Linked DNA regions of Diceros bicornis minor. The protein of the gene in region 1 purifies or fractionates together with the protein of each later gene. This does not show direct contact. Links are inferred from orthologs where the notes say so. Each region holds a gene or a part of one and is shown on either strand. Other genes may lie near its edges.

Evidence for each region. Proteins that work in one complex are often made in the same cells at the same time.
Region 2: the proteins of G3BP2 (region 1) and AURKB purify together in Homo sapiens (affinity purification with mass spectrometry; 3 studies listed by BioGRID and IntAct, with this or other methods). This does not show direct contact. The link is inferred for Diceros bicornis minor from reciprocal best matches to the Homo sapiens genes G3BP2 and AURKB.
Region 3: the proteins of G3BP2 (region 1) and CAPRIN1 purify together in Homo sapiens (affinity purification with mass spectrometry; 5 studies listed by BioGRID and IntAct, with this or other methods). This does not show direct contact. The link is inferred for Diceros bicornis minor from reciprocal best matches to the Homo sapiens genes G3BP2 and CAPRIN1.

Annotation. Positions count from the first base shown.
Region 1 is NC_080747.1:61,142,339-61,150,054, forward strand, and holds the start of G3BP2 (ras GTPase-activating protein-binding protein 2), read right to left. Parts: upstream 3,017-7,716; 5' UTR 2,934-3,016; intron 1-2,933.
Region 2 is NC_080757.1:10,205,468-10,213,250, reverse strand, and holds the start of AURKB (aurora kinase B), read right to left. Parts: upstream 3,003-7,783; 5' UTR 2,987-3,002; coding exon of another isoform or gene 2,939-2,986; intron 2,316-2,938; 5' UTR 2,014-2,315; coding exon 2,001-2,013; intron 1,554-2,000; exon of another isoform or gene 1,492-1,553; coding exon 1,389-1,491; intron 1,280-1,388; coding exon 1,175-1,279; intron 998-1,174; coding exon 806-997; intron 532-805; coding exon 393-531; coding exon of another isoform or gene 383-392; intron 283-382; coding exon 134-282; intron 1-133. UniProt on the Homo sapiens protein: Serine/threonine-protein kinase component of the chromosomal passenger complex (CPC), a complex that acts as a key regulator of mitosis.
Region 3 is NC_080770.1:34,299,834-34,306,921, forward strand, and holds the start of CAPRIN1 (caprin-1), read right to left. Parts: upstream 3,003-7,088; 5' UTR 2,931-3,002; intron 2,509-2,930; coding exon 2,296-2,508; intron 1-2,295. UniProt on the Homo sapiens protein: mRNA-binding protein that acts as a regulator of mRNAs transport, translation and/or stability, and which is involved in neurogenesis, synaptic plasticity in neurons and cell proliferation and migration in multiple cell types.

The DNA of each region.
Region 1 (7,716 bases):
TCAGGGCAAATCTTCTTCACCAGAAAAAAAAAAAAAAAAACAGTGGTAGAAATAAATGATAAATGTTAGTTGTGAATTAAGCCTTATCTTTTCTCAAGCCCCAAAGGTAAGGAGGCAAGTTTTGAAGTCTAGAAGCTATTAAAAGTGACCAAGCATTAAGACACGGAAATGCTGTCCCACAAAAATAAAAGCATGTATTTATATTATGCTTTAAAGTTTAACAAGTAACCTACACATTCCTTTATCTCCCTGAAATAGGTAAGTTATTAGCTTCATTTACAGAAAATGAAACCAATGTTTAGAGAGCCTAAGGAAAGGAGTTCGAGGTCCCCCAGTTATAGTTATGAGAGAGAGGGTTTGAAATCAGGTCTCCTGCCTCTAGTGATGTTTTCACTACACCTGGTTAAGAACAACTGCTTTGGAAGAATAGCCAGGGACACAGAAATACAAAAAAACTTTAAAGTCCAACTGTAAGCATACTGATACTGTTGGGAGGAGCCAAAAGCACAGAACAGGAATGTAACAGGGAATCCAAGAGAGTCATACTACAATACCACAATCCATACTACAATCCAACATAGCTACCATGGTATATCAAAATAGGGTAAAATCTCCAGAAATTAAAAGATAAAAATAAGCTGAGGCAGCAATCAAGAAACTGATTCTACTGCTTCTGAAGCCAGTCCAGAGTTCTGGGAAAGGAACCAATTTGTTTTATCAGCTCTTAAGTTTCCACAGGGAGATTAACTAAGTTATGTTTGTCAATTAAATTCTACTGAATTTAAGTTCAGAAACAACCCTTAAGTTTGTACCTCTCAAAACCAGCCTTAAAAAAGGGTCATTCCCCACCTCCATACCCACTCAGCAAAAAATGCGGTAAAAAATCTTATTTAAAGCAACCTATGAAAGAATTTTCAATCCTGATAATGGTTAATCAACAGCAATAATTCTGCAGCATAAGGAAGCTGTTAAAAAACTAAAGGCACTATTAGTACTTATAGATTTCCAGTAACTGATATCGAAATTTTCATTTTTGACCTCTCAAGTGAAATTCCTGCTACCAACAGTGCCGATACTATTCAAAATCAAGAGTTGTCTTTTGACAAATCAACTGCTCAGCTGCTAACTAAATACTCAATTCGACTATCAAACTATTCAAGACTTATTTTTTTCTCCTTCCTTCTGTACTTCTGATCCCCATCCACCCCACAAGCATTCTGGTTCTCTTCACTCTCAATACTTGTTCTTCATTGACCAATACTTCAACCTCAAATATTCAACAACCTGAACCATAACAGCTCTTAGATAGTACGCAATCCACTGGAGGTCCTCATCCTCCCTACAATTCCTTAATAACCTTTCAAAATTAAACAGCCTCTAGAGATTAAATAACACAAGGATACACATGACTAATCCTAAAAATTTAAGAAAATAATATCACCAAAGAAACAACAAAATTCAGTTCCAAGAAGTTCAAACTAATCCTACGGTCCATTTTTTAACACCAGGAATTTTGGATATCAAAAGGACCACTGAATACTAACAGGGCCAAATGTTTACTTTGAAACTTCGTTCACACGCCTAAAGCTATATGAACTGCCAAATATGGAGCTGAACAAGGAATTCCTATCTTCTTCCCCTCCAGCATACGGGGCTTCCTAACTGCCGTTAATGGTTCACAGATCCAGGTACACGCAATGCTAACATTTGGACGACTAGCACGAATTGTGGAGCCCTGAACCTAAAAAACCAGCATTTTAACTGAAGTTAATATCACAACAATCATATGGGGGGGGAAAGAGGAAACAACTTTGCTATTATTCCAGCTTTGGTGCACGTGGGTTTTGTTGTTGTTTTGTTTTAAAGAGAGCAAAGGCACGGCACCTCCCTTCCAAAAAAAAAAGAAACCTGTTAAGAAAACTAGATATACCTTAGAGGAAAAAAACTGATCTATGCGGAAAATGGTTGATGCAAATCTATATTTGCTCCAAAGCGGCACAGGGACATCTTAGGAAATCTGCTTATAGAGAAGCAGGTAAAATTCCATCATATTCGACTAATAAAATCAACACAATTCAGGGAAGCGTATATTCCTCCTCTTGACCATCCTTTCTGTTCCCCCCCAAAAAAGTGGAGAAAGAGGGAAACAAAAAAACCCATTTCCCAAAGCACTCAAACATCTTTTCGATTCCTGGGTCAATAAGGGAACGTTTGCATAAAAAGGGCACGAAGAAGGCGTTACGTTATATGTAATTCGGATCTCTGAGCACGTTCGGGATAAACCCGAGGGGAGTCGAAGACCACGGACCACTAGATACTGGATAACCAGAGCGGCGACTACCTTCAAACCCGGATTCTGTTTCGGTGCACAGAAATGGTGCCCGGAGGCCGCTACTTTCGCATCTGCGTCGCTTCTGCCTCCGCCGACACAGCCTCTTGTCCCCTCCCCCACGGGCGGGGCGGCGACGGCCTCTCCGCTCCCAGGGAACCGGCAATAAGAGACGCAAATGAGTCGGAAAGAAGGCTGGTGGGCTCCACACCCTAAAACATCCTCTCCAGAAAACCCACTCCGCACGTCCCACATTAAGCCTGCATCAGCGCGCCTTTGGGAGCCGCTGCGTCCCCCTTCCCAGCTCGCCACCTCATCCCCAACAGACCCCGGCCCCACCTGTGCCCTCAGGGCCCTCCGTCCGCACAACGCGGGCCGGCCGCTTCCCTTCCCACGCGGCCTCCCATCCTTCACCTGAGAGGAACGGCTCGGCTTCTCTCAAGCACACACGGCAGCGTAGGCAGCCGGCAAGAACAATGTCTCGCTCTGCCGCAACACCTCTGACAGCAGGGCTCACGGGACGGTTGCCTCGAGCCGCGGCGCGCGAAGGGAATGTCCCCTTCCGACCACCACACCGACCTCCCTTCCCGGCCCCCGTACACACCTCCAACCAACAGTGGGAGGGGGTACGTCGGCGCCGAGATCAGCAGGAGAGTCGCCGAGGACCGGCTGCCGCGGATTCTTCTCGCTTGCCGCCTCCCCCGTCCGCCAAACCTCAAGCCTCGGAAGCCGGAAAGCCGCGAGCTCGCTTCCCTTACAACCACCTCTTCCCGGGGGCCAGACGCTGCGGCGAGCGACAAGGAACACGGACGTCCCGCCCCCTTTTCCACCGCCCCCTCTTATTGTTTTACCCCTGCCGAAAGGCCTGGGGAACCCCCCAGCACGGCTTCAGCCAATCACACATCTCCTTCGCGAGCTGGACCCAACCTTCTCGCGTCCCTCTGCGAAGCACGCGCAGAACGCCGCCGCGCTCACGTACTCTCGCGCCCGGAAAGTCGGGGAACCGGAACCGGCCTCAAGCCGGGGCGAGAGTCCGCTGATTTGACGTCACAAGGGGGCTGCCTTTCTACTGCTCCTGCCTCGCCGCTCTCGAGATCGCGCGTGAACAGGAGCCGGTTCGCTGCTGCGCTGTCTTTTGGAGACCGATATTTCTGGTTCCTTTTGATTATTAATGTGATGAGGGAGAGAATTTAGTAATTTTCTTTCTGAACTAGGCGTCTGCAGGTTGCTGCTGTAGACAAGCATAAAATGCAGCCAGTGGTTTCAGCTGTTTGCACCCTAAACTCATCTATAATTGTTTATTAACCCGTCCTAGGATATGGATGTTTTAAGTTCCACCGAGAAGGTCAAATTCATCCTAACAGCTCAAAATAATATATATTACAGGGCCTACTGGGTGCTAGGCCGTGGGATGTAGAGAAAATAGGACGTGGCCTCCACAGAAGGGAAAAAGTCTATTTCTTTGCCCGTTCTGTACTTAGGTGTTGCTAAATACATACTAAGCATTTTACATACTAAGGCAGCTAAAAGGCTGAAATCCCAGGAGATACTGGGATTACAGCCCTGTCCTAGATCTAGGCCCAGGCTTGGCTCCAGGGTATAGCTGGGAAGACACTAGACACTGACTCTCCTGACCTTGATTCATGGAAAAAGCCAAATCGCCTTACAGTCAAGGAAGCCACTTTGCACCTTAGTTCTGGCAATGTTTCTCAGAGAATATCAAGACAGCAGAGGAATTTTGGGAGGAAATGGTGAAAGAAGTGAAAGGGCAATTAGGAAAGGAAATAGAACACATTTATTAAATGCCCATTCACCAAACATAGTGTGGGCATATGTATATACATTTCATTTGTTTTCTTCATAATCCTGTAGGAGCAATTTTAAGGTATTTTTCACATGTGAAAACTGAGGTTTACAGAGGCAACGCCAACATCTGAACCTCCAAAATTTACATTGTTTTTACCTTAGGTTGCTTAATCATTTTGTTATATGCAAAATATATGGGCTATCACTTTTATGAAATGAAATTTGACATGTTTTTCTTTAAAGCATCATAATACATTACATACAGATTGTCCTTTAAATCTGTTACTTATGTACCAGGCACTCTTTTACTTATGTAATTGTTTGAGCCTCACAATAACCCTATAAAGTCGTTACTATTTTTATGCCTGTTTTACAGATGAGGAAACTGAGACTCAGAGAGGTAAGTAACTTGCCCAAGGTCACAAGCTACTGTTTGGTGGGGCTGGGATTCAAACACAAGCAGTCTGCCTTCACACGCCATGCTGTTAACCACAAGCTATAAAATACTCTTATTGTGTTAATTGCCACAACTTATTTATCTCCTCTACTGTTGATGACATTTCAGTTGTTTCCAGTTTGGGGCTCTTATGCGCACCATGTCTCCTGGTGGGCAGGTACAAAAGTCTCTAGAGCAGTGGTTCTCAGAAATTAACGTGCATCAGAATCACCTGGAGAGCTGGTTAAAACACGGATTTCTGGACCCCACTCCCACTCTGATTCAGCAAGTCAGCGTTGAGGCCTGAGAATCTGCATTTCTAACAGATTCCAGGTGCTGCTGCTGCTGCTCTAGGAACCACACTTTAAAAACCACTGAGGGGGGACCGGCCCGGTGGCGAAGCAGTTAAATGCGCATCCTCCGCTGCGGCAGCCTAGGGTTCGGATCCCTGGCGCGCACCGACACACCGCTTGTCAAGCCATGCTGTGGCGGTGTCCCATATAAAGTAGAGGAAGATGGGCACAGATGTTAGCCCAGGGCCAGTCTTCCTCAGCAAAAAGAGGAGGATTGGCAACAGATGTTAGCTCAGGGCTAATTTTCCTCACACACACACACACACACACACAAAATAAATAAATAAAAACCACTGAGGGGCCAGCCCGGTGATGTAGTGATTAAGTTTGCATGCTCCACTTCAGCGACCTGGGGTTCACGAGTTCGGATCCCAGGTGTGGATTTACACACTGCTCATCAAGCCATGCTGTGGTGGCATCCCACATACAAGATCGAGGAAGGCTGGCACAGATGTTACAGGGACAATCTTCCTCAACGAAAAAAGGAAAAAAAAAAAGAGGAATATTTTCCTCTTTGGAACAGATGTTAGCTCAGGGCCAAGCTTCCCCACCAAAAAAAAAAAACCCTGATCTTGGGCTGGCCTGGTGGCGTAGTGGTTCAGTTCGCATGCTTTGCTTCGGCAGCCCAGGTTTTGCAGGTTCGGATCCTGGTCACGGGCCTACACCATGCATCAAGCCATGCTGTGGTGGTGTCCCACATACAAAGTAGGGGAAGACTGGCACAGATGTTAGCTCAGGGACAGTCTTCCTCACAAAAAAAACCAACACTGATCTATAGCATGGGTTGGCAAACTTACACCATAAAGGAGCACATAGTAAATATTTTACATTTTGGGGGCCACAAATGTTCTCTGTCACATATCCCATCTCCCCCATTTTTTAATCCTTTAAAAATATAAGAAATATTCTTAGCTTAGTTCTAGGACTATACAAAAACAGGCCTCAGGCAACTCCTGCTCTAGGGTATATACCAATAAGTGGAGTTAATGGGAAAAAAGATTCAGCTACTTCAAGTTTAGTAAAAAACCCTAAACTGTTTTCCTAAGTGGTGATTTTTACTTCCTAAATGTCTCTCAAGTCTGTCCCCTCTGAATGACTCTCCATACTTAGAGGCTCTGCTCAGGTTCAAGCCTCTTTCATCTTTCCTGAATGATTACAGTAGCCTCCTAACCAATCTCCCTGCCCTTTAAAGATAACCTCCATGAAAGAGTGCCTCCCCTAACGCTGTAAAGCAGGGAGACCAGTATGAATTGTATTCATTCCAGTGGTTCAAGCCAAAAACCTTTAAGTTACCCTTGACTGTCTTTTTCTCACAGCACACAGCCAATCATCAGTAAATTTCTGTTCCTCTACATTCAACATTTATTCTGAATTAAGCACTTATCATTTTACTGCTATTATTGTAGTCCAGGCCACCATCACCTACTGCAACAGCCTTCTACTTGGTCTCCATGCTTCCACTCTTATTCTGCTATAGTCTGTCCTCACAGCGACCAGATCCTTTACAGCTATAAATCAGATGACATTCTCAAAACCTTCCAAAGGCAACACAATAAAATCCCAAGTCCTTACCGTAGCCTACAAAGGCTACTTGATCTAGTCCTTACCTATTACTTGCACCTCTTTTCTTACCACTGTTTCTCTTATACACCCCAGCTCTACTTTTGACACTCCAATCACATTCCCAACCCAACATGGGCCTTGGATGTGAGCCCTTACCAAAAGTCTGTGAAAAATCAAAGTAAACTGTATCTACTGATTTCCCCAAGCACTTCTATTCAAATATCTCACTCATCCATTCTAAAGGTTAAGTTAGGTATGATTTTCCTTACACAAACCACCCTTCTTAGAATTGCAATTAACCTAATACTGCTTAAATAGTCTACTAGCTTGTCTAAGCTGTATTCTGTGGTTATTTTGTATTCTCTATATATTATGTAGTTCCTAGGTTCTCTTCTACATTGTTTTTTTTTTTTAATAAATATAAGTCAAATGGTAATCTACGAGTTGTCTCACAGAGCATCTACTTACTAATAGCTTACAGGATTCTTTAAAACTCCTGGATTCATTCATTCAGTAGCCACCGCTGAGTGCCACTGTATCAAGCAGAGCACTAGGCTCAGGATGAGGCAAAAATAACTGAAACATAGTGTCTTCAGGGAATTGGAAAAGGGAGGGAGGGAGGGAGAGAAAGAGAGCAAGAGGAGGAAAGAGAAAAACAGAAAAAGACAAGAAGACATAGAAAAAGAGGGAGAGTCAAAGAAAGACAGTAGGGAGACAATGACACTAGAGGGTACTGCCAAGTGATATTACACTGGGGATACCGAAGAGCACTTTGTACTTCTCCTTCATAACACTGATTGAATTTTTAAATTTATAATTTGAATTTATAGTTTAAAATATCTGATAATCCCCCCCATCTCTTTTGAGTGCACGCACACGCGTGCACACACACAGTGTAAGCTCCATGGGAGAAGAACTCCTGTTCGCCTCTCCGATCCAGCACCTGGTACTGGCCCACTGAAAGTGCTCCCTAAGGTGCTCCATAAAGTGGCTGAGTGACCAATGTGAGACCACAGAGGGAGGCACAACAGTCCTTCTCGTGGGCTTCTAGTATTTTTGATATTTTTGCCCTAACTTCTAGAACAGAATATGATTTATTTTTATTCTTTTTTTGATTAATAATAATAGTTTTTAAGACTGCGGATTTTTCCTTGCCTATAGTTTAGGCCACATCCCACAGGTTTTATTCACTACCTTTGTATTCTAAATAGTTTGGAAGTGTAGTTTAG
Region 2 (7,783 bases), on another chromosome or scaffold:
TTTTGTAAAGATATTGCTGTGTCTATGTTTACATGAGGCCAGACCCAAATGTCTCTGGGTAACAACATGTGGAGTGGTTTTATTTTGAATGTCCCAGCCTCATACCCATGGCTGGCCTCCTGTCCCACCGTACCTCAGGGAGGGCGCGTGCACCGACCAGCCAAAGTCCGCAATCTTCAGCTCTCCCTGGAGCCCCAAGAGCAGATTCTCTGGCTTTATGTCCCTGTGAATCACCTTCTTCCCGTGGCAGTAGATCAGAGCATCTGCCAGCTCCTCCATGATCTGGGAGGGCCAATGACAGGCGATTAGACAAGGATGGACCTCTAGCTGCAAGCAGCGTACCCCTAGCCTCAGGCCCCCTGCCGGCGCTCCAGGTGCCCACCCGCCCCGACCGTGGCTGTTCGCTGCTCGTCAAAAGTGCGGCTCTTCTGCAGCTCCTTGTAGAGCTCCCCCCGGGGGGCATACTCCAGAATCAAGTAGATCCTTCGCCGGTCGTAGAAATAATTGTAGAGACGCAAGATGTTGGGATGCCTGGGAGAAGAGACAGGAGGGCTGAGGCTGCATCCTGGCATAAGGAAATGGGAAAGATGACAGGTCTCATATGGGGCAAACTGGGGTCAGACGTGGGCCAGGCCGGGGACACGAGGGCTGGCCCTGGCAAGGGGGACGTGGAGACAGCTCTCTGGATTGAGAGCTCAATGGTGCTAAATGGCCACAGCTATAGGGAAAACTCTAGATGTGGTGGGGTTGAAAGAGCTGGGGGGAGGGAGCAGGGGGCTTGGGCTCAGAGGGCGTTGGCCCGTACTGCAGATGGGCCTGGATTTCGATCTCCCTGCGCAGCTGGTGTTCCACGCCCTCCTTCTCTATCTGAGACTTGAAGAGGACCTTGAGTGCCACGATGAAATGGCTCTTCTTCTCCCGAGCCAAGTACACATTTCCAAACTTGCCTTTGCCCAGAGGACGCCCAATCTCAAAGTCATCAATCGTGAAGGACCGCCTGATTAGAGAGTGGGGGGAAGGCAGCTGAGCACTGGTTTGTGGGTTGCCTGAGGTGTTTGCTTTCCCCCTGCCCTTCAGCTCCATTTCTCTTTGAAGGAAGTTGAGAATGGATCAGGCTTTCTTGCCCCCGCCCCCACACCTCCTGCCCTTAGCTTCTCCCTCCCTCATCTCCTACCTGTTCACTGTCTCCCTCTTCTCTTGCCGCCCCAAGGCTTGGGCACTTACATTAACAAGTTGGGCGTCCCACTGCTGTTCTCCACCACCTTCTGGCCAAGGGCAGCTTGGAAAGAACAGTTAAGTTGAGGCCCTCCCTTGACATTTTCATCCCTGCACCCTCCCCGTAGACTCTAGTCCTCTCAAGTCAATCCCCTCCCCGCTGTTGCAGTTACCTGTGGGCTGGGCATTGGAGCGGCTCATGAGGACAAGTGCAGATGGGGTGACAGGCTCCTTCCGGAGGACTCTCTGGGGCAGGGTGTTCAGGCCAGACTGAGCCTGAGAAGGAGCAGGAGGGAGCTCTGAGGGTGTCTTTGTCTCAGCGGCCGGGTTGGAATGTGCTGCAAGCAGCATTTCAGTGCTTTCTATAGAGCCACCCACCCACCCATCCCCACCTCAAAGAGGAACACTGAGACAACAATTTTGCTACTCAGCCCCAAGACTCTGCTCAGAGCCCCATATTAAAATGGGTTCTTAATAAACAACATAAGTTGGCCCAAGATAAAGAGCAAAGGACTTAACGCAACACTGAACATTTCACCTCTTTGGCCCTGGCCCACACCACATTCTCAGGCATGAAGCTGTCCAACCTCTGTAGTCCTGTCTGCAACACCACTCATTTACCCAGCCCCCACCCCTGGGGGCTGCAGAGGGCTGGGGTAATGAACACCCACAATTCAAGGTGCTAAAGCACAGAGGCATTCTCATAGCCCCTAAAAAGCTCAGTCTATTAAGGCTTACACAGGGTCCTTGAGGCCTTGAATGTTGCAGCAAATATCAGTATGTACCCCTTTGCAACATCAGGCTTTAGGGACGCTGAAGGCTACTGTGATGGCCTTGGACCACTTCTCACATTCAACTTCTGAGTAATATACATAACTTCCTTTTGGGAGTGACCGAGGTAGAAGTGACAATGGTTTCTCATTCAGCCTCCACTCTTGATAGCCTCACTCAGTGCTCCACAAGGGAGGGAACTGGTGGACACAGCGACAGACGGATGCTACGGGAGATCTAAGCCCCACCAACAGGGAGCAAAGCCTGTGCAGGGCCCCTTCTTTCTTCTTTAGCCAAGAGGGGAAGAAAGCCTCAGTGCCCCTTCAAACCTGTTCCCAAAGAGTGGTATTAGAACAGAATTTACAAATAAGCAAGTTGAACAAAATAGAGTCCAGAAACAGACCCACATATATGTGGGAATCTAATATATATAAAAAAGGTAGCATTTCAAATCAGAGGGTAGACTCTTCAATGAAAGGTGTTGGGACAACTGGAAAAGAAATCAATTTAGATCCTTAACTCACACCAGTCATTAAAATAAATTCCAAATTATTTAGACTTGTCTTGAACCTGTTAAACTTATAAGTTTATCTCAATCCTTCACGAGTCTATTTCTATGTCCTGCCTAGCCTATTTTTTTCAGGACAAAGGTTGGGAATCATGGCCTGAAGGCCAGACCCTGCCTGCTCTCTCCCAGATATCATTTGTATATGACAAGTAGGCTCAGCCCTGCAGGGGTCCTCACAGGCTGGTCAGATTCGAGTTGGCAGCACCTGACAGGATGTGGCTGCAATTGCCCAGACTGGGTTCGGCCAGCAAACTTTTGGGGCCCATACGTTGGAGCATAACCGAGAAGAAAGTGCTTGGAGGATCGCCCTCTGCAGGACCTCGAATCTGGAAGTAGGAACTCGCCATGCCGGTTTGGGGGGAGCGGAAGTGGGCATGCCCTTACCGTCTGCCTGCCGTAGGGCCAGGGGTAGGCGTTCTCCTTCTGGGCCATCCTTAGAGGGAAGCGGGGAGGAGAGCTGGGCAGAGAAAGGAACAGAACCGTGAGAAGCAGAAAAAAGGGAGCGAGAGAGGGAGGGGTCGGACCCATCTAGTCGGAAGCGCTTGCCTGGGGCTGGTGAAAGGGAGCAAGTCTACACGCTGGCCACATCAGGGCGCACCCGGGCGCTCGCCTGGCCGCCCCCGCCCTGCTACCGGCCCAGCCCCTTCCAGGACCCTCTCTCCACCCTTGAGCGCCCAGCAGCCGGCGGAGTGCGCGGGCCCGCCCAACGGACCCCCGACCTGCCTGATCACCTGCCCTCTCCCGGCGCAAGGCCTGCGAAAGGAGGGCAGCTCACCTGGAGCCCGTGGCACAGCCACTCTCCTGGCCGCTGGCAAACGACTCGCCCTGCCCAGCCGCGCCCCTGCCGAGTTCCTTTCAAATCTCCCGCCCTGGTCCCATTGGCTGAGCGGGCCGCCCATGTCCAATCCTCATTGGCTGGATGTCCCATGACGTAGCCCGCGGGGCCCCAATGGAAGAGACGAAATGCGAGCCGCAGCCAGCTCATGTTCCGGATTAGAAAAGTTTCCCTTATCCCACGATCAAATATTCTCATATCTTTCAAAAAATTTTTTGAATTTTAATATATCTGGAATCTATCCTTGTGTATGTATGATCTAGGGTCTAACTTTGTTTTCTGCCAGATGGAGAGCCAGTTATGCCAGCACCATTTGTTAAACAAACGACATCATTCCCAGCGGAATTTAAATGCTACCCTTGATATATTGTCGTCGTAGATAGTTGGATCTATTTCTGGACTCTGTATTCTGTTACATTGTTTGTTTGAAGGTATGTTTATTCTTGTGTCATTAATATTTTGTTCTGTAAAGTCTTTCACTCACTTTCCTAGTAGGAATTTTCCGTCAGCGGTCCTTTCTCTGCAGGTCCCCTGACCAAGGCCGCAGTGTTTGGACCGACTGTCACTTTTCTCCTTCCTGCCACGCTCCCTTCTTCTCTGCTCTTTCCGAGCCCAAATTTTATTATTGGGTTAAATAAATACATTTTGAGACGTTCTATGAAATAACTAGTGGATATTTGCAAGTATTGCCTGTCCAGTATCCTTCCTATTACTTTGAATAATAACACCCTAACTTTGCTTTAGGGCAACCACCTGTCTGCCTGTTCTGTGTTGTCGGTTTCTGTTGCTACCGGCCCCAAATCCCTAACTTGATGGGAGACCTATTGTGGTGGACACTGTGGTTCCCTACCCAGCGTCCATTCTCCCAGCGATTCCTACTTCCTGAAAGCACCTCAAGTTTTGGGTCTCAGAGGGAAGCTGACTCCATCCCAGGTCCAGGAGTGGACCCTGTCTGATTTACAACAGTCAGCACCTTTTATGCCAGGATCATGGTCACTGGTTCGGGGATAAGCATGTGAATTAAGTGGGCCAGTTAGTGGGAATTTTAGGATTCTTGTCCAGAATGCTGAGCAGAAACTCCTTTTCTCCTGCTGGAAGTGGGCAAGGAAGCATGCAGCCCTCATTGTTGCTGGTGGTGCTCCTGAAGGGAGCAGCCTGAGAATGAAGCTCACATTGCAGAGGGGAGAAGAGAGGCCTGGGAAGAACCCGAGACTTTGAGGACATTGTGGAGCCTCTGGATGCCTATTTCAGCACTTTCCTTACATGAGCTAATAGATTTCCTTCCCTAATGCATTAAGAGTTCTGTTATTTGCTGTCAAAAGCATACCGCTAAACTAAAAGATAAAACAGCCAGTTATTTTACCAGCAAAATGGTTTTTTTCAGGAACAGCAAAGTATTGCAAGTTGGGACAAGCAAGCTATAGCAAAAGCCATAGGCAAGGCCAACAATCAAAGAAGAGGAACATTATTTTATAAGGAAAAAGGAGGAAATTAGGAGGGGCTGTTTTGAATGCAAGTCCATTAGAGAAAAACAAAAGTTCAGAGTGATGATGGTTTCTCATTGGCTGAGTTGCTCCGTAGTCGATTTCCGTTTGGGATGAAATGTTTATTTCTTTGGGTAGAGGTCTGTGATTGATGATTTTTTCTGTTAGACTTCTTTCTGTTGGGGTCTGTAATTGAGATTCTTGCCTGTACTTGTACTTGACCTTGAATGGTACTGCATGAGAACTCCCCCTTCTGGCTTCCAGACTCCATTTTAAATGAGGTTTCCCTTTATTAATTTTCACAATACTAACTGACACACATCTACAGACCTAGAGTGTTCTTAGTTATTTAGGTTGAATGATGTGAAATTGCTGATAGTCAATCATTTTGACCTACAAAAGATACCAATTTCATATGATTCAACCAAATGTAAATCAAATAAGTCCTTATGGGTTTCCAGATCAGTTCATAATGCTTTTGGCTGCAAGTAAAAGAAAACTCAGTTAACAATGGCATAAACAATAGGGATCTATTTTCTTTTCCATAACAAGAAATCAGAAAGTTGGTAGTTGGTTAGGGAACAATGTTAGAGATCTGGATTGGCCTCTCTCTGATTCTCTTGACATTTCCCTTATGAGTGCAAGATGGCTGCCAACTGTCTCTGTCTCTTTTATCAGGAAAAGCAGAAACCTTTCTACAAGTACCCAATAGATTTCTCATTGGCCAGAATTGTGTCACATGACTGCTGCAAAGGAGGCTGGTAAAGTGAGTGAGGCTGGTAAAGTGAGTATCTCTTCTAGCCACTATGGTTAAAGCAGCAAGGGAGTGTGGTGGTAGGAATACAAGTGTGCCGCAATTGCTTATAATTTCATTCTGGGGACCCCATGATTAATTTAAAAAGTCAGATATCTGTGCATGATGAGGTATCTTCAGAGATTTGATGATCATGGCCACCCTGCTGCCATTTGTGAAAAATCATTTTACTTCTGGAGGTACACTGTTTTCCCTTAGGGTCAGCTTAACCCCACTTCCCAAGATCAGGGAGCCCATTTCGACTGCGGCACCTTTATCTACATACTTGGCATAGAGGGACTAGCCAATGAAGAGCTTTATAAAAATTCTATCCCTTGCAGTATACTTTATTCCTCAAGCCCTAGTGAAGGGAGACTTTTCTGGAACCTATAAGGTGAAATAGTACATGGGTGGGATATACCTGATTGATCCAATACAGTATCTGTGTCCCCTGGAGTCTTTAAATTCTTGCTTGCACATTATGTTAGAAGATATTTGGCCTTTCAGGAATATTTGATGGGCCAGCATAAAATCAGGATTTGCATTACTCATAAAAAACCAAACCAAACAAAAACTATCTGTTCTATCAGCTAGGCAACTATCAGCTGCCTGTTCAAGTCAGTGAACAAAACCTCTGTTATTTACCCCAGTGCTTCTCAAACAATCCGTGGGGAAGGACCAGTCTTGATTATTTTCAATCTATCACAGATCAATAATGTTATAAAATACACTAAAAATGAATTCCTTGAAAAACGAAATCTAAAAAATATAAAAATTACAATCCCACATTTTTTGGTATAATCAACGTATATAAAAGTACTCTGACAAATGCTGGAGGAGTTTTTAAATGCTTACTCTCAAATTCTAAACTCATCTTGGACTTGAAAGAGACAGTCCATGAAGCGGCACCAGTCTGTGGACCACACTTTGAATACTACCAGTCTACATCCATAGCAATAAATGCGGCCCTGCCCCAAATTATGCTTTGCTCTCCTTGGTCAGGCACACTCAAAACCCACTCTCCTGCGGATATTCCCCGGGTTTATAATGATGTAAATTAGCAATTTCCTCTGAGTGTAATTCTTTTGTTTTTTCCTCTTGCTTTGCTTTTTGCTTCCCAGTTCATGTTAGATGTGGATTCTGGCTACTGGCCAAGTAACAATGAGAGGTATCAGTGAGGGGGGATTGTCACTGTTCTCCTGCCAGGGCTGAATTTTCCTGTGACTGGGAAAGGTCAGAATGTTTCGTGTTCCGAAGGTCAGGCAGGATGGCTGGGATACTATAATGTTTGTGAGGCACAGATGTCAGCCTCTTTTATTTCTGACAATGGGACAACTCAAGAAGAAATTTCAAGACATGAATTTTCATCATCAGCCAATAAGCCCCTTCCAGGGATGAGGAGTAGACTCAGAAGGGTCTGGAAGGGGCTTGCTGGGGAAGCCTGGCTAATACCTCCACGTCTTCCCACTAAGTTGTCCTCATTAAGGTAAACCTGAGGCAATGCTGCTGAATTAAGTAGGGTGCCCTCCATCCAGACTTCCCTGAGCCTCCCCAGGTCAAACATCATTGCTGGGGTTTGCTCCTGGCTATTAGGTCCCAAGTGTTGGTCGTTGGTACAAACCACAAGCCTGGACCAAATGCGTCCCTGCCACAATGGCTGAAGCCTGAGGCCCTGCCCAGGTCCATTTATGTGTCCTCAGAGATTGGATCAGCAAGGCCAGTGCCCCTTGCCAGGTGACCAGACAACAAGCCTGTACCCTATGCCTTTGAGGCATTTTTTAAAACTTTTTATTGAAGTATACATACAGAAAATGTATAGCTGGATGAATTTTCCTAAACCGAACAACCCTGTGTAACCAACACCCAGATCAAGAAGCAGAATGTTTCCGGCACTTCAGGAGCCCCCTCATCCTCCTTTACCAGTCACTATCTTTCCCAAGAGTAACCACTATCCTGACTTCTAACCCATATACTAGCTTTGCCTGTTTTGACCTTTATACAAAAGACCTTCATACAGTATGTATTCTTCTGTCTGACTTCTCTCATTCAACATTATGTTTGTGAGATTTACCCATGTTGTTGATGTATTGATTTTTAAATATACATGAACATGATAA
Region 3 (7,088 bases), on another chromosome or scaffold:
CAAAACTGACTTGTAAGTAAATCCTATTTTAGATGTATTAGAAATGCTCATTCACTACTGAAAAATGAATCAGTTAAATCTTTTCATACAGTAAATTATCCAGCTATAAAGAAAATTTCAATTTAAACTAGAAGCCAGATGTGCTTAGAGAAAAATTCAAACGCCCTTGAGTTTCTCAAAACATAGTTTGTTTTAATAGTAATTAAGTCACAACATCAGTACTGGCAACATAACTATTTAACGAGTATGTAGCTCAGTCTGTGAGTTATCAAAAAGCCTCAAGTAACTGTAATTTGACCTTTCCACTTTACTATCTAGCACCCAAAACACCGACAGAAAAGATGATATGAAATACATTTGTTATTTTGTAAAATGTCCATCATTACAAGGGAATTTTTCAGTACTTACTAGCCTAGTCTATAATCTCTGTAATAATAATTACATTACTTTCTCCTTTATAATGATGGGGGGGCGGGGGATGGACACAACTAGGCAACGTACAGCAGTACAAACCTATAGACAGGAGAGACCCATCATGGTTCAGGCCCTCAAGGGACTTATAAACTAGATTTCTATTCTTTTCAAATACACTTGAACACTAGAATCTAATAATCACCTCACAACTAAGCTGGCTGCTACTCAGTGCCTGACTTTATATTAATGCCTTTGAAAGAAATACTTTTCAGTGATTAAAATATAAATATGTATACTAAAATGACTCTGTGTAAAATATATCATTAATTAATTAATTACATCTTCTGATTCCCATCCTCGAAGAAAACAGATTCCTAGGAATTCTGAAAATTAAACCATTCAGGCATCAGCCAGATTGACAGGATTGTTTACTGCATTAAGAGGTTTTAAAGATACCTAAGCCTCAATTTCAAATAGAGTGGCAAAAACTAAAACAGATGGCAGACACAGAACCAGAAGATACTAGCCTTGGGGCATGTTTATTCTGTTACATACTTGAATATAGCTACTTTATAATTAAAATACTTTTGTTGCTTGGTCGATGTTGATAAATCTATAACTTCAATCATTTATAATAAACCACACTTGTTCTTCAAAATAAAAGATAAGCAAAAAGTAGAAACCCACGATTAGTGCATCTCTCAATTTCAAAAAGTCCAAGAAATTCAAATAAAATTCCCAATACAGAAGGAGACAGAGAAGTAACAAATCTAAAAATGTTTATGATTTTAAACTCCCCCAAAATGTAAAATAAATCATTAAACAAACAATTAAGATAATTAAGGCCTAAATGTCATCAGTTTTCGTCAAGTTATTTCCCACAGTCGAAATTTCAGCCTAACAGTTACTATCTCAACGTTTTAAGTACCACTATTAGGTGGCTGGCTAAACACTGTAAACATTTTTAAATGATTTCCTCAAAATTAAAGATGCTATGCTGGTGATTTGTTTTTTCCTTTCCACCCCAATCTTACTGAAGGCTGAATTATTCCCTCTGCCGAGACCCTTTCCCCATACGTGCACACACGCGCACACGCACACACGTGTCCCCCTACACAGAGTCGGTACCCTGTGCTGCGCGGAGAGCACACAACAAAAGGCCGACTTGCAGACAGACCCCCCGGTGCGACCTGGAAGGGCCAGATACTGAACGGCAAGATTGCGGGCGTGGTCGGCTTCGGAGGGGCGCTGCCCGGCCTGCCCTCCCCCGCTTTCGCTTTGTGCTCACAATGCGGCTCCGCGAGCTTCCCTCTCCCCGCCGCCGCCATGTTAGCCGCGCTCCATGTGCCCGGGCCGGCGCCCCTCCGTCCCCGCACCGCCGCACCTCCCCAGTCGTCCCCGTCGCCCCCCGGCCCTCTCCAGAGTCCCGGGGACAAAAGGCCGCTGCAGACACGCTTCTCGGGGCCGGGCCGAGCGCGCGGCTCGGGGGCACCTAGACAATTGGAACAAAGAGGAACACGCAGGGGCGCCCCTCGGATGGGGGCGGGGAGCAGATCGAAGACGCCCCAAAAGGGCCCGATGGGGGAAGCGGCTCTGGTTTGGGACCCTGAACACGTCCGCCCGTCTCCCAAGAGAGAGGAGCGGGCAGGCCTCGAGCGCACGGGAGCGGCGCGGTCAGCCCGGCTCCACGAGGCAGCGCCGAGCCCGAGCCCGCGGCCCCCTGCCGCCCCGGCCCCGCACAGCCCACTCCCCGACCCGAAGGCCGCCCCGGCAGGAGGAGGAACGGAGGCCCGGGCAGCGCCGCGGCCGGGCAGCTGACAGCGCCGCCCCGGGGCCCGCTTTCCGGGGACGGGAGAGCCGCCCGGCCCACCCCTCCCGCACCTTCTTCTTCTCCAGGTTCCGCAGCTTCTTGTCGATCACGCCGAGGATCTGCTTCATGGCCTCCGTCTGCACGGCGCCCGTGCCGCTCGCGGGGTGCTGGGCGGCCGGCGCCGTGGCCCCGGCCCCCGCCGCCGCCTCGCTGCCGGAGGAGCCCGCCGGGGGCGGCCCGGACGACCTGCTGCCGCTGCCGCTGTGGCTGGTGGCCGAGGGCATCTTCAGACGGCGAGGGAGACGAGAAAGAGCGGGAGGAAGGACGAGAGGCCGGTCAGGCGGCGGACGGGGCGAGACGCGGGACAAAACGCGCGGCGGAGGGCGGCTGCGCGCTGGGGGCGGGGACGGCGCCGCGGGGGCAGGAAGGGACGCGGCCGCGCGCCCCCGCCCGGCCACCCCCCGGCACCGGGACCCGCGCGGGGCGGGGCCTCGCCGCCGGCCGCCAACGGCCAGCGCAACGGTCCCCCGGCGGGGCCGACGCTCGCCGCCGTCCGGGGAGGGACGCAGGGGCGGCGGGGGAGGGGCGCGGCGGGGGAGGGGCACTGGGCTGACGGGGGCAGGGAGACGTGAGGGGCGAGCCCCCGCCGGGAAGGGACCCGGCGGCGGCCCCCGCCCCGCGGGCGCCTCGGCCGGCCGGCGCTCACCGTGCGCGCGCGGAGGCCGCTGGCGGTCCCGAGGGGGCGGGCGTGGCGCTGCGTTCCGGGCAGTGTCGCGCGCTCCGTGGGCGCAGGCCGCGTCGCGCTGTGCCCGCTGCACCGAGAGCCCCTGCCAGTGAGGCGCAGAGTCGAGCGGGAGGGAGCTCGCCGCCAGCCTCGGCGCGGAGGGCGGGGAGCGCAGGGGCCCTCGCGGGCGCGGGCTGCCCGGCGCGAACGCCTGCGGGGAGGCGCGGCGCGGCCCGGCCCGGCCCGGCCCGGCTGCCCCTGCCCGGCCGCCGCCCCGGCCCGGGCCCTGCCGCGGGGGGCCCCGGGGAGGCTGCAGGAGTGGGGTCTGGAGCTGTGAGCGGAATCGAAGTGAGGGTCCTTCAGGCGAAGTCGCTTGACGTCCAAACGGGGACAATAGGTGTCAAGCGGCTGGCTGTGGAGCTGGCGGCTGCCCCGAGAAGGGTCCTTACGTGGTGGGGGCGGGGGTGGGGGCAAAGGTCCCCGCCGGTGAGTGGTGCGCGAGGCGCTGGTGCGAACCCCGCTTCTAGAATGCCTTCTGGCTGCGGTCAGGTGGCCTCCCGCCCTGCACAGGGGCCGGTGCAGAGCGCCCGCTCGCCGCTTCCCCGCGGACACTCACCTGGGAGCTCCCTGTCGAACGCCTTGGAAGGAGCAAGATAGGTGGCATTTTGAAAGTCTTAAACCTCCCGACTCGTGTTAAAAGTAATCTTCAGCTACCGTAAGATGACATTTATCCAAGAGGCCTGAGGATTACGGATTAGGGTTTTCTTTCCTTTTGTTTTAGATTTTCCTAAAACTTTTAAGAGAATGTTGAATAAAATACAAAAGAAAATTTCTTTTGCTCCAAGAGAATTATTCGAGCCTTATAATTAACCTAGGGGCGGGGTGGGTGTGGACAGAAAATGAACCAAGTGCTGGAAGGAAATGTATTAAAGGGAGTCGTTAGCGGAAAACTCAGCGGCATAATGTTGTATGACAACAGTAAATGAGGGATTTACAATTGAAACTCCGTGAAAAGGGGATTTCGAAAAGGATGATACTAAACCCGCTGTTCCTTGGGGAAGAAAATGAGTAATACTGGTTGGCAGCAGTGTACCCTGAGGGAGCCTGGAGAAACAGCAGCGGTCTCCGGCCTCAGGACAGTCCGGTTAGCTGCAAAGTCGGTTATCGATTCATTCGAAGATTCCTTGAGCCCCTTACTATGTCTTAGGAGCTCTTTAGTGCCAGGGACTGTGAACAAAACAAACACCTCTGTCTTCATAAAGCTCACATTCTAAGTGGGGAGAAGATAAGTAGGTACGTGTCAGATAGTCAAGTGGTAGAGAGAACAGACGGGGTGGTCAGGAAAAGGCTTACTGAGGACATGTAAGCCGAGACTGACGGAAGTGAGAAGACCAAGCAGGTATCTTGGAGGGAGAATTTTCCAGGTGGAAGGAACACCAGGTGCGAGGAACTGAGATGGGAGTGCGCTTGGTGGGTTTAAGGAACATCGAGGAGGCCGCAGAGGCTAGAGCAAAGAATAGGAGCTGAGGTCAGAGACGTGAAAGGGGGCTGGCCTTGTAAGGCCTGGTAGGTGGCTGTAGGGCCTTGGGCTTCTGCTGAGTGAAATGGGCAGTCACAGCGTGCATAGCTTTAGCAGAGGAGTCACATGATCAACCTGTGTTAAAGAAAGCCTCTTGCTGCAATGTAGAGAATTTACTGTAGTGTGTGTTAGAGATGAGAGGAAGGGTGGAGAAGAGCAGGAGCTGGGGCCCAGTTAGGAGGCTGTTGAAATAATGCAGCCCAGAGATGGTGGTGGCCAAGGTCAGGGTGTTCACAGCAAAGGTGGGGACAGGTGGTTGGTTGCTTTACACATTATGGTAGTAGAACCAACAGGATTTGCTTAGCAGTTGTGTGTTAGGTGAGTGAGAAGTCAAAGCTGACCTAAGATTATTCAAGATGGAAGCACCTGAACTGTGTTTAGTGCTGCGCTAGACACTCTGCTAAGCCTAGAGGCTAGAAAGGAGGATTAGAATCCTTTAATTCCTTGCAGGTCTTAGTGTACTCAGCCTGACTACTGTCACTTTCAGAATCTCAGGCCCCACCCCAGACCTACTGCATTTTAACAAGAGCCTCAGCTGATTTGTATGCACGTTGAAGTTTGAACAACAATCTCTGCTTTATTCCTTAGAACTTGACCAATGTGCTTAAGACCAGACATGAAATACTCTACTAAGCAAATTTTCCCCAGACCTGCAGAATCAGAAACTCCGGGGGTGGGGCCCAGCAATCTGTGTTTTAACACGTCCTCCAGGTGATTCTGATGCACGCTGAAGTATGAGAACCAATGACTTGGAGACCTCTTATAATTAAAGTTTGAGCTGAAGAGGGCTTGTGATAAGGTGTGAGAAGGAGAGGCCTCTTCTGCCTTTCCTTGACTCGTTACACAGTAGCAGTTACCAAAGCATAAAGCTAAGTTAGGCTTTTCTTCAAGGAAAAAAGAAAGATTATTGAGGGAACGTGGTAGCTGACAACACGGATGACAAAGATCCTCAGTCGGAAGTCCGTCTCACAGCCCACAGTGTGTCAAGACACGCTAGGTTATGTTGCAGTAACAGTCCTGAGAGCGCTGTGACTTCAAACAGGGATCTGCAGACCAGAGTCTCGGGGCTGAGTAGCCCTCCATCTGTTTTTGTAAATCAAGTTTTGGGGACACAGCCGTATCCATTAATGTACGTATTTTCCATGGCCGCTTTCGTGCCACAGCAGAGCAGAGTTGAGTAGTTGTGACAGAGATGGTATAGTGTGAAAAACCTAAAATACTATTACACACTTTACAGAAGAGGTTTGCCAATCCCTGGCTTAAAACAACAAATGATACACATCCATCCATCTGAGGGCTCTGCTCAGAGTAGTCACTAAGTAGATTCAGGCTGATGGAGAAACCATATCTCAAGTGTTGATGATTACCATAAGGAAAGAGAACTGGGGAGTATCTCAAGTAGTCGATTAAATACTTCAAACAGGTAGAATTGCATCATGTGCACTCACACCTCATTGGCCGGAAAGAGTCACATGATCCCAGCCAACCAAGAGATGCTGTCCTATCAGATGCCTAGTAGGAAGCTAGGTGAACCGGAAACATTTGGTGAACATACATAGCTGTTGGGCTCTCACTTCCTACAATATGTCATCCCATCTGGTTTCCTTGGTGTTCTGACGTTCTTGCAGTTGTGTGATCAGGTCAGCAAGACCAGGAAGACTAATCAGTTTAAGGCAAAGTAGTGTCTTTAGTCTGACTTTCTGCCCAGCCCAATGCCATGGTCCCAGCAAACCAAATTTGTCTATTTCCTGTCTGACAAAAAGGGGACTGAAGCTATGTTTATGTGAATTTTTTAATACTTTACTGTAATCATTTTTTTTTTTACCTTTTTTCATAATCCAAACCCATGCAGTAGCTTCAGGTCATTGTATCACTGAAGAAATAGGAAAATTAAAGGGTTTTCCTACAAAACCAATAGGAGAGCAGAGTACATCTATAAATGAAAAACACTTTCTCCAAAAACCTTGGTTTTAAAGTTATCCCCAATGTTAACGTGTTGTTTTTTTTTGGGGGGGGGGAGGAGAGGAAGATCAGCCCTGAGCTAACATCCGTGCTAATCCTCCTCTTTTTGCTGAGGAGGACTGGCTCTGAGCTAACATCTATTGCCAATCCTCCTCCTTTTTTTTTTCCCCCAAAGCCCCAGTAGATAGTTGTATGTCATAGTCGCACATCCTTCTAGTTGCTGTACATGGGACGTGGCCTCAGCATGGCCGGAGAAGCGGTGCGTCGGTGCGCGTCTGTATCCGAACCCGGGCCGCCAGTAGTGGAGCGCAAGCGCTTAACCGCTAAGCCAGGGGTCTGGCCCCTTAACGTGTTTTAATAACACAGATCTCCCAAGCTGACGTTTGCTTGTTTAACTCATTAGACCACAGCACTCTAAGTCTCCACAGTCAAGTGAGTGAGTAATTGAACTTCTTATCCTGATCATGTTGGCAAAAGAGTTCAGCTGCTTCAACTTGAATCACCCAATAAGCTAACATTGAGTATATTTGTAGCTAAAGAGGGGACCTTGCATCTGAATTCCATTCACTGCCTCTCTGCCAGGTTGACAGTGAGAAGCC